Linked DNA regions of Mus musculus. The protein of the gene in region 2 interacts with the protein of the main gene of each other region in a pairwise test. Links are inferred from orthologs where the notes say so. Each region holds a gene or a part of one and is shown on either strand. Other genes may lie near its edges. The genes, in order: Tnfaip3, Ywhag and Fam53c.

Evidence for each region.
Region 1: the proteins of Ywhag (region 2) and Tnfaip3 interact in binary tests that used the Homo sapiens proteins (3 or more experiments, as listed by UniProt). The link is inferred for Mus musculus from reciprocal best matches to the Homo sapiens genes YWHAG and TNFAIP3.
Region 3: the proteins of Ywhag (region 2) and Fam53c interact in binary tests that used the Homo sapiens proteins (3 or more experiments, as listed by UniProt). The link is inferred for Mus musculus from reciprocal best matches to the Homo sapiens genes YWHAG and FAM53C.

What each region holds. Positions count from the first base shown.
Region 1 is NC_000076.6:19,000,405-19,003,058, forward strand, and holds the end of Tnfaip3 (tumor necrosis factor alpha-induced protein 3), read right to left. Parts: intron 2,612-2,654; coding exon 2,327-2,611; 3' UTR 506-2,326; downstream 1-505. UniProt on the Homo sapiens protein: Ubiquitin-editing enzyme that contains both ubiquitin ligase and deubiquitinase activities.
Region 2 is NC_000071.6:135,910,570-135,914,222, reverse strand, and holds part of Ywhag (14-3-3 protein gamma), read left to right. Parts: intron 1-2,571; coding exon 2,572-3,228; 3' UTR 3,229-3,653. UniProt on the Homo sapiens protein: Adapter protein implicated in the regulation of a large spectrum of both general and specialized signaling pathways. Binds to a large number of partners, usually by recognition of a phosphoserine or phosphothreonine motif.
Region 3 is NC_000084.6:34,765,785-34,769,437, reverse strand, and holds part of Fam53c (protein FAM53C), read right to left. Parts: intron 1,271-3,653; coding exon 486-1,270; intron 1-485.

The DNA.
Region 1 (2,654 bases), on a different chromosome or scaffold from region 2:
CCTATTTTCTTCTGTATAAAAAGTTTGATGCTCAATTTGACAAATTACATTCAGATTCTACACAATCTTGCATGTTGGCCTGTCTGTCATTTGCCAACTCTTTGCCCACCTGCGACTAGAGACCCTTTCCACACAGACAAAGGGACCCAGAGGGTCTGCAGCACTGGAGTACATATCCTTACTCTCATGCACTGATTATTTCATGTGTGTGTGTGTGTGTGTGTGTGTGCGCGCGCGTGCGTGCATGTTCTTAGTGTGCATGCATGTGCAACTATATGCATATGTCACCACATCTAGCTTGTATACAGGCAATACAGATTAAACTCAGAGCCTAATGCTCGAGTAGCATGCAACTATGGACTGAGCCATCTCTCCAACCCCAATTATTTTTCAGAAGATATCATTCTTTCCATGGGTAAGAGTTTCACCCATGGCTCGATATACATCAAATTCTTCACATCTGAGCCTATCTTCTTCCAGCACTCATTAACAGAAAGCATCAGAATTTGTTCTTAAATAATTTATTTTTTAATATTGACTTTTGTGAAGTTACAGTTCTTTAAAACAATCTGAAGTCCAAAAAAGATAGATCCTATCCTTTGAAAGACAACTGTGCAAATTTCACAAACTTTCTATAAGTATAAATAACCATTTCACATTAACAATGAAAATCAATAGACATAAAATAATAGACTATTAACTTTGAAAGAACAAGATGAAAATGCTGCATTGTATTTGACATCTTTGGGAAAGAAGGACAAAGACATATGTAAGGGGAAAAGATAGGCCGCAGATATGAAGAGAAAAGGCTATGCAGAGTTAGACATCACAAGTATCTTCAGGTGCTAGGCTAGACCCCAGATGTCAGCCTTTATCTCTACAAAGCTATATTTCCCTCCTAAAGCAAGTCCAAAGCACACAGAAAAGCTGCAAGCAGTGGCAGAAACTTCCTCGTCCTCACGGCTATTGGCTTTGCTTTCTCAGTGTTCCTATCCAGTACCCAAGGGCACAGCATTTACACAGTAAGCCAGGGTCATGAAAGGCCATGTAGTTGTGTCCCTTCCCACTGTCACCTCACTCCATCCCTATCTTTTCTTCAAAGAGGTAGGATACTTAGAAGCATATATGGAAGACAGACAATTTCTTCTTGTGCAGCCAGGGAGTCATAGGAAGCAGCCGATTCTACAGGCTTATCCATAAAGCAACCCCTTCTTTCCTAGGGAGGTAACAAGGAGAGAGAAGACAGCCATCCCACCACACTCCATGGCCAGGGACTAACCAGGCCCCCAGGACATGGTGGAAAGCAAATATGTTATCTCAAGAAAATACTGCAGAAGGAAATCTTCATTTAAATAACTTGGAAGTTCATAATAAATAAACCAGAATGAGGGCTCCCGTTAAGAAGACAGCTTGTTGAATTCACGTAACAAGCTGTATAGACAGGGGCAAGCTGACAACAACCAGAAAATAGGTTGTTCTTATTCAGTCTTCCTACTACCACTAGGAAACCATTTCAATATTTTAAATCCCTCATACATAATATAAGGGTATATTACATATGTACATACTCTGATACACACCCTCAGTTCAAAGTTATTCTCTTTGGAATGGGAGACAATGGCCAACACTGGCATGTCTTCCCACCAGACGTTCTGCTGTCTAGAAGGTGCATACAGCCGAGAGCGAGCAGCTTGGTTTGTCTCCATGTGAACATGTGTCTTTTCAGCAGCCACGGGATCTGTGTGCAGGTCTGCTTTCCTGCAGAACCTTGGGAGCCAAGTCGGCAGATAGGGAAGCCCATTGACCACAGATGTGCTCCGCCTACGTCCTGTTTTTCCCTGAGCTTCCTCTAGCATCTTGTGGAGGGCCTTGGAGCTCTGAGAATTCAGCTTTGGCTCTCTGAGAAAAGCTTCCAGCTGGCAGCAGTAGGATGGTTCCAGTCTCCATCCTACTTTCCCATACGCCTTTCTTCCTGTTGCCTGGCAGCCAGGCTCAGGAACTGCTGCCAGTCCTAGCACGCATTTCGTGTCTAAAGATCTCCACATCCTCCTGGTAGACGAGCAGCAATAGCTTCAGGCTGACCCTGACATCATGCACTGCCGGTAACCAGGTCTACTCTCAGCTCACCAGGGCAAAGTCTCGGTTACTAACCTGATGGTCATGGCTGTGACGAAGGAAGAGCTTATCTTGCCTACTTGCTCAAAGACACTTGAAGCCACTGTCCCAGGGCCTACCCTTCCTGTGGCACTCAGGGGTCTGGATCACAGTACCACTGTGAATGGCAGTTTGAGGCTCCTTCTTGCTGGACCTGTCAATGTGTTCGCACTTAGCCATACATCTGCTTGAACTGGTAGCACTCATTGCAGTAACCATTACACTTGGCATTGCCAAAGTGATCACAAGCAGGGGCCCGGCAGCGCTGTTTAGGGGGCTCTTCAGGCGTGGGCTCACCCCGGTGGGCCACAGAACCTACTCGTTGGCTTAGGTGCTGGCACTCCATACAGAGTTCCTCACTGCGACAGGCCAGAATGTTCTTGCAGGAGGCCCGGGCACATTTCAGCCTTGAGGCTACCTGTGTAGTTCGAGGCATGTCTCTATGCTGGCTTGATCTCTGAGTGGGAAGAACACAGAGAGAGAAAGGTGTCAGGAGACCA
Region 2 (3,653 bases):
GACCTGTGAACTGGCCTGTGGCTGACCATCCAGGTGCTTGCTCTCTGCAAACCGCTGTTGAGGTTCTCGGACGGAATGTAAAGAGTTAAGGAGGAGACTGGAGGGTCAGACCAAAGAGACCAGACAGCCGTGGAGGTGGTTGTTGATGAGGAAGGCCGAGGCTTCATGGGGAGTCCTGGTGCTGAAGACCGTCTTTCCATACTTGTAGCACGTACTTCATCATGAATTAAGCACTCCACAGTGCCTCAAGCTTTTAATCCAACCGTGCCAGAGAAGGCCAAGTGTTCTAGGTCAGCCAGGACTACATTGTAGTGAGACCTTTAGGTCTCAAACACCTAAAGATACTCGGGAACATGCAGAAATCTTTTTTTTTTTTTTTATGGGTATGATAGTCGGACTATAGCTCAGTGGGTAGAGGGCCAGGCTAGCATGCCAGAGGCCCTGGGTTTGATCCCTAATACCACCTAAAAAGTAATGGTGGGGCCACACAGATACATCAGTCAAGGCCTAGAGAAATGCAGCCGCTTGTTCCTCAGGTCTCCTAACAGGCTCTTGTCTTCTGGGGATTTTGTACTGACTAAGAGGTCCGCAGAACTCAGCAAGAGGTAGGCAGGTTGGTCCACACTTCACAGTCAGCCCACCAGCACAGAGCCTAGAGCACAGCGAGTGAGAGTTTGAGGCAAGGTTGTCTGACTTGTTTGTTTTTTGGGGTTTTGTTTTGTTTTTTTCCTTGTCAACTTGACACAATCTGTGGGCAAGGCGTTTTCTCTCTATGAGTGATAGGGGCTGGGGGTGGGGAGCAGGAAGTGAGGCTCAGCCCACTGTGGGTGGTACCAACTCCGGGCTGCTGGTTTTGGGTTGTATAAAAATGTCTGCCGAGTGGGAAGCAAGCCACCAAGCAGATCCCTTCCCCCATGTCCTGACTTCTCCCAGTAATGGAGTGTGACCTGAGGGTTATAAGAAGAAATACTACTGCAGGGAGGTGGTTGCACACGCCTTTAATCCCAGCACTTAGGAGGCAGAGGCAGGCAGATTTCTGAGTTCCAGGACAACCTGGTCTACAAAGTGAGTTCCAGGACAGCCAGGGCTACACAGAGAAACCCTGTCTTGAAAAAACCAAAAAAGAAATACTACTAATTATGTGTTTATTTATTACAGCAGCAGAACCTAACTGAGGTGGTGTCAGTCTATATCCCTCCAGGGCCTGTGGGCACAGGGTGGCGACAGCATTATAGCCACAGGCTTCCCTTGTCTAGCTTGTAGTCCCGATGGAACTGGGGCCTCATTCTTAACTCCTGCCGTTCACTAGGAATGAGATGGTTAATCTCGGGTACTGGGCTCAGGGCGAGGGCGGGGTGCAGTGCATATGAGGTCCTGGGTTCTAGCTCCAGCACTAAGTGGCTGCCATACTTGTCCCCTCTTTTTTCTTTTCCCAGTACTGCAAGTTGGAACCTAGCATGCATAGCTGCAGCCCCAGTCCTGAGAACTGTTGTAGCCATCAGATGGTATTAAATCCACTTCCCTAGTCTGCTAAGATTCCACAGTGGTCAGGATCTTTAGTTGGTCTTTTCCTTTCCTCCTTTTTTGTTTTGTTTTGAGACAGGATCTCTATGTAGCTCTGACTGCCCTTGAGTTTATTATGTAGAGCAGACTGGCTTCAGACTCAGATATTTTATGTCTATGGCTTTTACCACATGTGCCTGGTACCTGCAGAGGCCAGAAGAGGACATTAGATCTTCTAGACTTGTAGTTAGAGATGGCTGTGAGCCACCATGTGGGTGCTAGGAAGTGAACCCCAGGTCCTCTGGTAGAGCAGCCAGTGCTCTCAAACTCACAGAGATTGCTTGCCTGCCTCAGCTTCTCAGGTTGGGTTTAAAGGTGTGCGCCACCAACCTCCTGGCTTCTCCAGTCCCATTTTAAATTGGGGGGGGGGGTGTTTCAAAACAGGGTTTCTTCATTTATTTATGTGTGTTGGGGGAGTTTATGTGATATGTGGAGGTCAGGGCCAACTTGAGAATTAGTTCTGGCCACTGTAGATCCCAGGGGCAAACCTGTGTTGAGGCTTTATAATAGGCCACTTCACCTTCTGAGCCATCCTGCCTGGCCCAGTCGCCCAGTGTCCACTTCCTGTCGATGTATCATCTGTTTGTTGTTAGCATAGGAGTAGAAAAACTTCCTTTTTGCTCAAAAGTCAACTTTTAAGGGTGACTCATTCTTTCCCAGAGGGACCATGACTCAAGTAAGAGCACTGGTCAGCTTGAGGATGCCTGCTCTCTTCCTGAGAACATGGCCATCTCATGCTGAGAGTGCTAGGTGTCCATGCCACGGGAGAGGATTTGATTTGTCCTTAGGACAGGCTGACGGTTCTTCCGTGGAGGACACTGGTGCTTGAGACTGTAGAAGCCACCTGTGCTGCTCCTGTCACTCACTCCCCTTCCTCCCAGCCAGAGTGCAGTGTTTCTGCCTGCTAACGGTCTCCATGGTGCATGGACCTGTTGTGGGTTGATGTAAAGATAGCTTCACCCCATTGTCATCACCTGTCGTAACGGTGCTCGGTCCTTCCTCCTCCAGGTGACCGAGCTGAACGAACCACTGTCCAATGAGGAACGGAACCTCCTGTCGGTGGCCTACAAGAACGTGGTGGGGGCTCGCCGCTCCTCCTGGAGGGTCATCAGCAGCATCGAGCAGAAGACGTCTGCGGACGGCAACGAGAAGAAGATCGAGATGGTCCGAGCCTACCGGGAGAAGATCGAGAAGGAGCTGGAGGCCGTGTGCCAGGACGTGCTGAGCCTGCTGGACAACTACCTGATCAAGAACTGCAGCGAGACCCAGTACGAGAGCAAGGTGTTCTACCTGAAGATGAAAGGGGACTATTACCGTTACCTGGCAGAAGTGGCCACCGGGGAGAAGAGGGCGACCGTGGTGGAGTCGTCTGAGAAGGCCTACAGCGAAGCCCACGAGATCAGCAAGGAGCACATGCAGCCCACCCACCCCATCCGGCTGGGCCTGGCGCTCAACTACTCGGTTTTCTACTATGAGATCCAGAACGCCCCGGAGCAAGCGTGCCACCTGGCCAAGACCGCCTTCGACGACGCCATCGCCGAGCTCGACACTCTGAACGAGGACTCCTACAAGGACTCCACTCTGATCATGCAGCTGCTCCGAGACAACCTCACGCTCTGGACGAGCGACCAGCAAGACGACGACGGCGGTGAAGGCAACAACTAAGGCCCCAGGTGGACTGGCAGCGCCCGCTGATGCTACTACTGCAGTCTTTATTTTTTCCCATGAGTTGGGGGTCGGGTGGGGGAGGGGAAAGGGAGGGGTGACCTTCCCAGGGAGAAACCCACGACTGTCCTGTCTTTGATTGCCTCTTTGACATTTTTGCCAAAATACCACTAGTGGAAAGTCAGGCTAGCTATGCTGGTATGGGAGTAGCAGCCTCACACAGACGTCCGGACTGTTGTGCAGGCTCGGAACGAGCAAGCGGAGCTGTCTGCCTTTAGTTTAACTTATTGCTAGACGGTAGGGTTCTAAGAAGAAAAACCGGAGATGGATGGCCCTCATTCAGTGCGTTCTGTGGTTCCAGTAAGGATTCTTCTGTCCATGCCCTTGTCCTCAGTTCCGTGGCTGTTTTCTCTCTTTGGCTGTGC
Region 3 (3,653 bases), on a different chromosome or scaffold from region 2:
TGGATGACTAAGAGAACAACTTCTCAGAGCCCTATGACCAAGCGATCTGGAAGGAAAACTATGGCAAAAGGGGACAAGTCACCCACAGTGGCTGCTCTCAGCTTAGGGCTTAGAAAGCCACTGCTCATCTTGCTTAAGCTCCCAAAGGCTGACAGGGGGCACTGAAGCCAGGGAACAAAACCAGCCCTGAGACTGCAGAGGAGACACTGAGGACAGGAATCCTGTGGTCTAGAGTTCTCAGAGAAGAGGAAAAGTGCCTCTGGCAGGACAATTAGGATCCCTGTCTGAAGGCTTAAGGCCTCAGTCTAGTTTCTTTAGAATACTAAGGACTAACTTGACAGGGCAGAAGACATTAAAGGTTAAAATTCAATACTGCCAGGGTGGTTTTCTTGTATAAACTCTAGACAGAAGAGTTCCCAGGGAGGCCTTGCCAGAAGGTAGGGAATTAGGAGATGTTTAAACAGCTTCTGGTCTGCCAGTCCCACCTGATTCATCTTGTCAAAGTCCAAGGAAGGCCGAAGGCGCCTGCAGTCTTCCTCATGACGCCGCTTGACACCAGTTTTGCGGGCATCCAGATCACAAGGCTGTGAGCGGCTTCGGGGAAGGTTTCGGAGACCTCGGGGTCTCCAGGGCAGCTCTGGGGAAGACGCGGGAGAGCTCCGGGCAGAGGGCAGGAAGCGGCTCGCCTGTGGGCCCAGGCTGGGTGACAGGGAGAAGCGGCGCTGGGGTGGGCAGGGCGACAGGGACTCTGCATCACTCTCCCAGGAGCCACTCTGAGGGGAGGTGGCGCAGGGCTGAGCGGAATCTTGGGCCAGGGCCAGGCTGAAGAAAGGAGGGCTGTAGGGTCTGTGGGCTGGGGCACACTGAGACGAGGCACTGGGAGCTTGGAGGAACCTGAGGCTGGAGACCCGCTTCGGAGGGCTCTGCTGAGGCACCTGCGGCCCACCCCCTCCAGCATTGCCCCGGTGCTTGATGGGAGTCCACAGCTTGGAGGGGGCAGGCCGCCACACCGGCTGCCAGCGAGACAGGTCCACAGGCACCGAGAGTGAGCGGCAGTGCCTCTTGGATGGAGGGGCAGGGGGCACAGGAAGCTTCTCTGGGTCTGGGGGTTCGGGGCTCAGTACTTGGGAGAGGGGCGGCTCCTTGGGGGAGTTTCCCCGACTGGGTGGTCTGAGGTGCAGGCTTAGGCCTGAGGGATGGTAGCTGAAGTTGAGGCTGTCCTGGAACTCAGCACAGGAACAGTGGGGCAGGCCCCTCCAGGAAGCACCTTCTGAAAGGCATGCATAATGAAAAGGGTTAATGGCTAACATATTCTAAGAGCTACTGTACCACAGAATGTAATTTCTCAAAAGTCTCCATGAAGGAAGTACTATGACTGTGCTTGTCCAAGGTTAACAGGCACAGCTATTAAGGGAACAGAACAGGATCTAAACCCACCCACACCATGCTACCTGCAGCCTGAGAACCCACCTGGCACCAAGAATGTTTATACACTGTCTGCCACTCCTCCTCAAAAATGCAGTCAATCAAGAAACCTGTATGAGCTGTGAAGTGGTAATGCCATGCCTCTAAATCCTGGCACCTGGGAGGCAGAGGCAGGTGGATCTCTGAGTTCGAGGCTAGCCTGGTCTACAGAGTGAGTTCCAGGACAGCCAGGACTACACAGAGAAACCCTGTCTTGGGGGAAAAAAACAAAAACTCCCAAAAACCCTAGACAAACCAACCTGTGTGTCTATTCCCACTCACCCCCTAGCTCTACGGACAACCTAACCTTCCCTGCTCCCAGCCTGCTCTCCTCCTCCGGCCTTTTCCCTCTCTCTGTGTCTTCAGGGGTAAGGCAGGCAGCATTGTCTGGAGAAGTAGTCAAAGCGGGGAGGAAGTCACTGTTACTCCTAGGAAAGGCAATGGGATGTCTGCGGGTCTGATGGCAGAACACGTGTTTGAGAAACCCTAAGCCTCTGAGCTGGTTTGTCCCTCTGTATCTGTTTGTGTATATACTCTGCTTCCTGTCTCCTTAGGCCTTCATTATTCAATTTTGAAAATTATTTTTTTTTAGTCTATGTATTACTATGTAGCCTTGTTGCCTTAAAACTGAGTACATAGAGCAGGCTGGCCTTAAACTCAGAGATCTACCTACTTCTACTTTCCAAGTGCTGAGATTAAAGGTGTGCACCATACTGCCTGGCTTGAGGCCTTCTTTTAAAGCCAAAGACTGGAGGACCAAGCCGGGTAGGGCTCAGTCCTATAATCCAGGAATCCAGAGATGAAGGTGAAAAAATAAGGAGTTCACATTAATCATCAGCGACATATTGAATTGAGGCCAACCTGGGCTAACTCCCTGTGCTTACCAAAGGTAAGGAAAAGAAAAGAAAAGGAAATGGGCTAAAAGAAATGATCTGGACTGCATTCTAACCACAGCTGCAACTTCTGGAGTGTGTGTACGTTCTTATTCACGTGTGTACCCATGTTCATGTGAGAATGGATAAGAGCCCACACATGTTGAGCCAGAGGTCAACATCTGATGTCTCCCTCAATCACTACCTACCTCACTTTATTTTTTATATTACACTTGTTTATCGGTATATGCATGTGTTATGTGTACTAACATCACAATCATGTATGTGAAGGTCAGAGGACAACTTGGGGAAATAGCTCTCCTTCTACCAAGTGGGTCCTATGGAGGAAACTGAGGTTACCAAGTGCTTTATGACATTCTGCCTGCTCTCTCCACCCCCTTTTTTGAGATAGGGACTCTCACTGAACCTGTTGTTCATCAATTTGGATAGGCTGGCTGGCCAACCTGTCTCTACCTCTTTAGGTACTAACGTATTAGAATTATAGACTGTGCCACCATATCAGGCTTATTATAGACTGTGCTACCATATCAGGCTTATTATAGACTGTGCCACCATATCAGGCTTTGATGTGGATGTTGGGGACCCAAACAAACCAAATGCTTACAACGCAAGCACTTTACCAACTGAGCCATCTTTCCAGTCCCCCCAAATTGTGACCTTCTTTGAGACAGGGTCTCATGTAATCCAAACTGGCCTCAAATTTGCTATATAGCCTCCTGCCTCCACCTCTCAAGAGCTGCTCAACCCCTTGCCTCTATATTCCCATGCAAGACCAATTTAGGGAAAATAGTGAGTTATTTTCTAAGTTTTTTCAAGAATTCTCTAGAAAAGGCACAAATCAAAGTAATATGAAGTGAGACTTGATGACAGAAGTCAACAGTTCTTCCCATTCCTGTCCATCCCAAGGCAGGGAGCACGGACCCTCAGGACGGAAACCGGCTTTCAACAAGTGCTTCTGAGAGAGAGAGAGAGAGAGAGAGAGAGAGAGAGAGAGAGAGAGAGAGAGAGAGAGAGCGAGCGACTGGCAGCTTTTGCCCACTCGCCTCCCTTGCCAGGCGCTCAGGATAGATATGAGGCAGCCCGGCTACACAGGCTAGAGAGCTTCTGCTTGTCTTACTTAGCTCATGACCACAGGCCTTGGGCTAATGCACAATTGAGGAACTGCATTTCAGATGTATTTTCACATATCACAAATGACCTAGGGAAAAAGTTATTTACTGCTGTTCTGGGGAGGTGGCTAGGCAGGCAAGCGCCTGCTGTGTAAGCATGAGGAACAGAAGTCCTTTGTAAAGAATA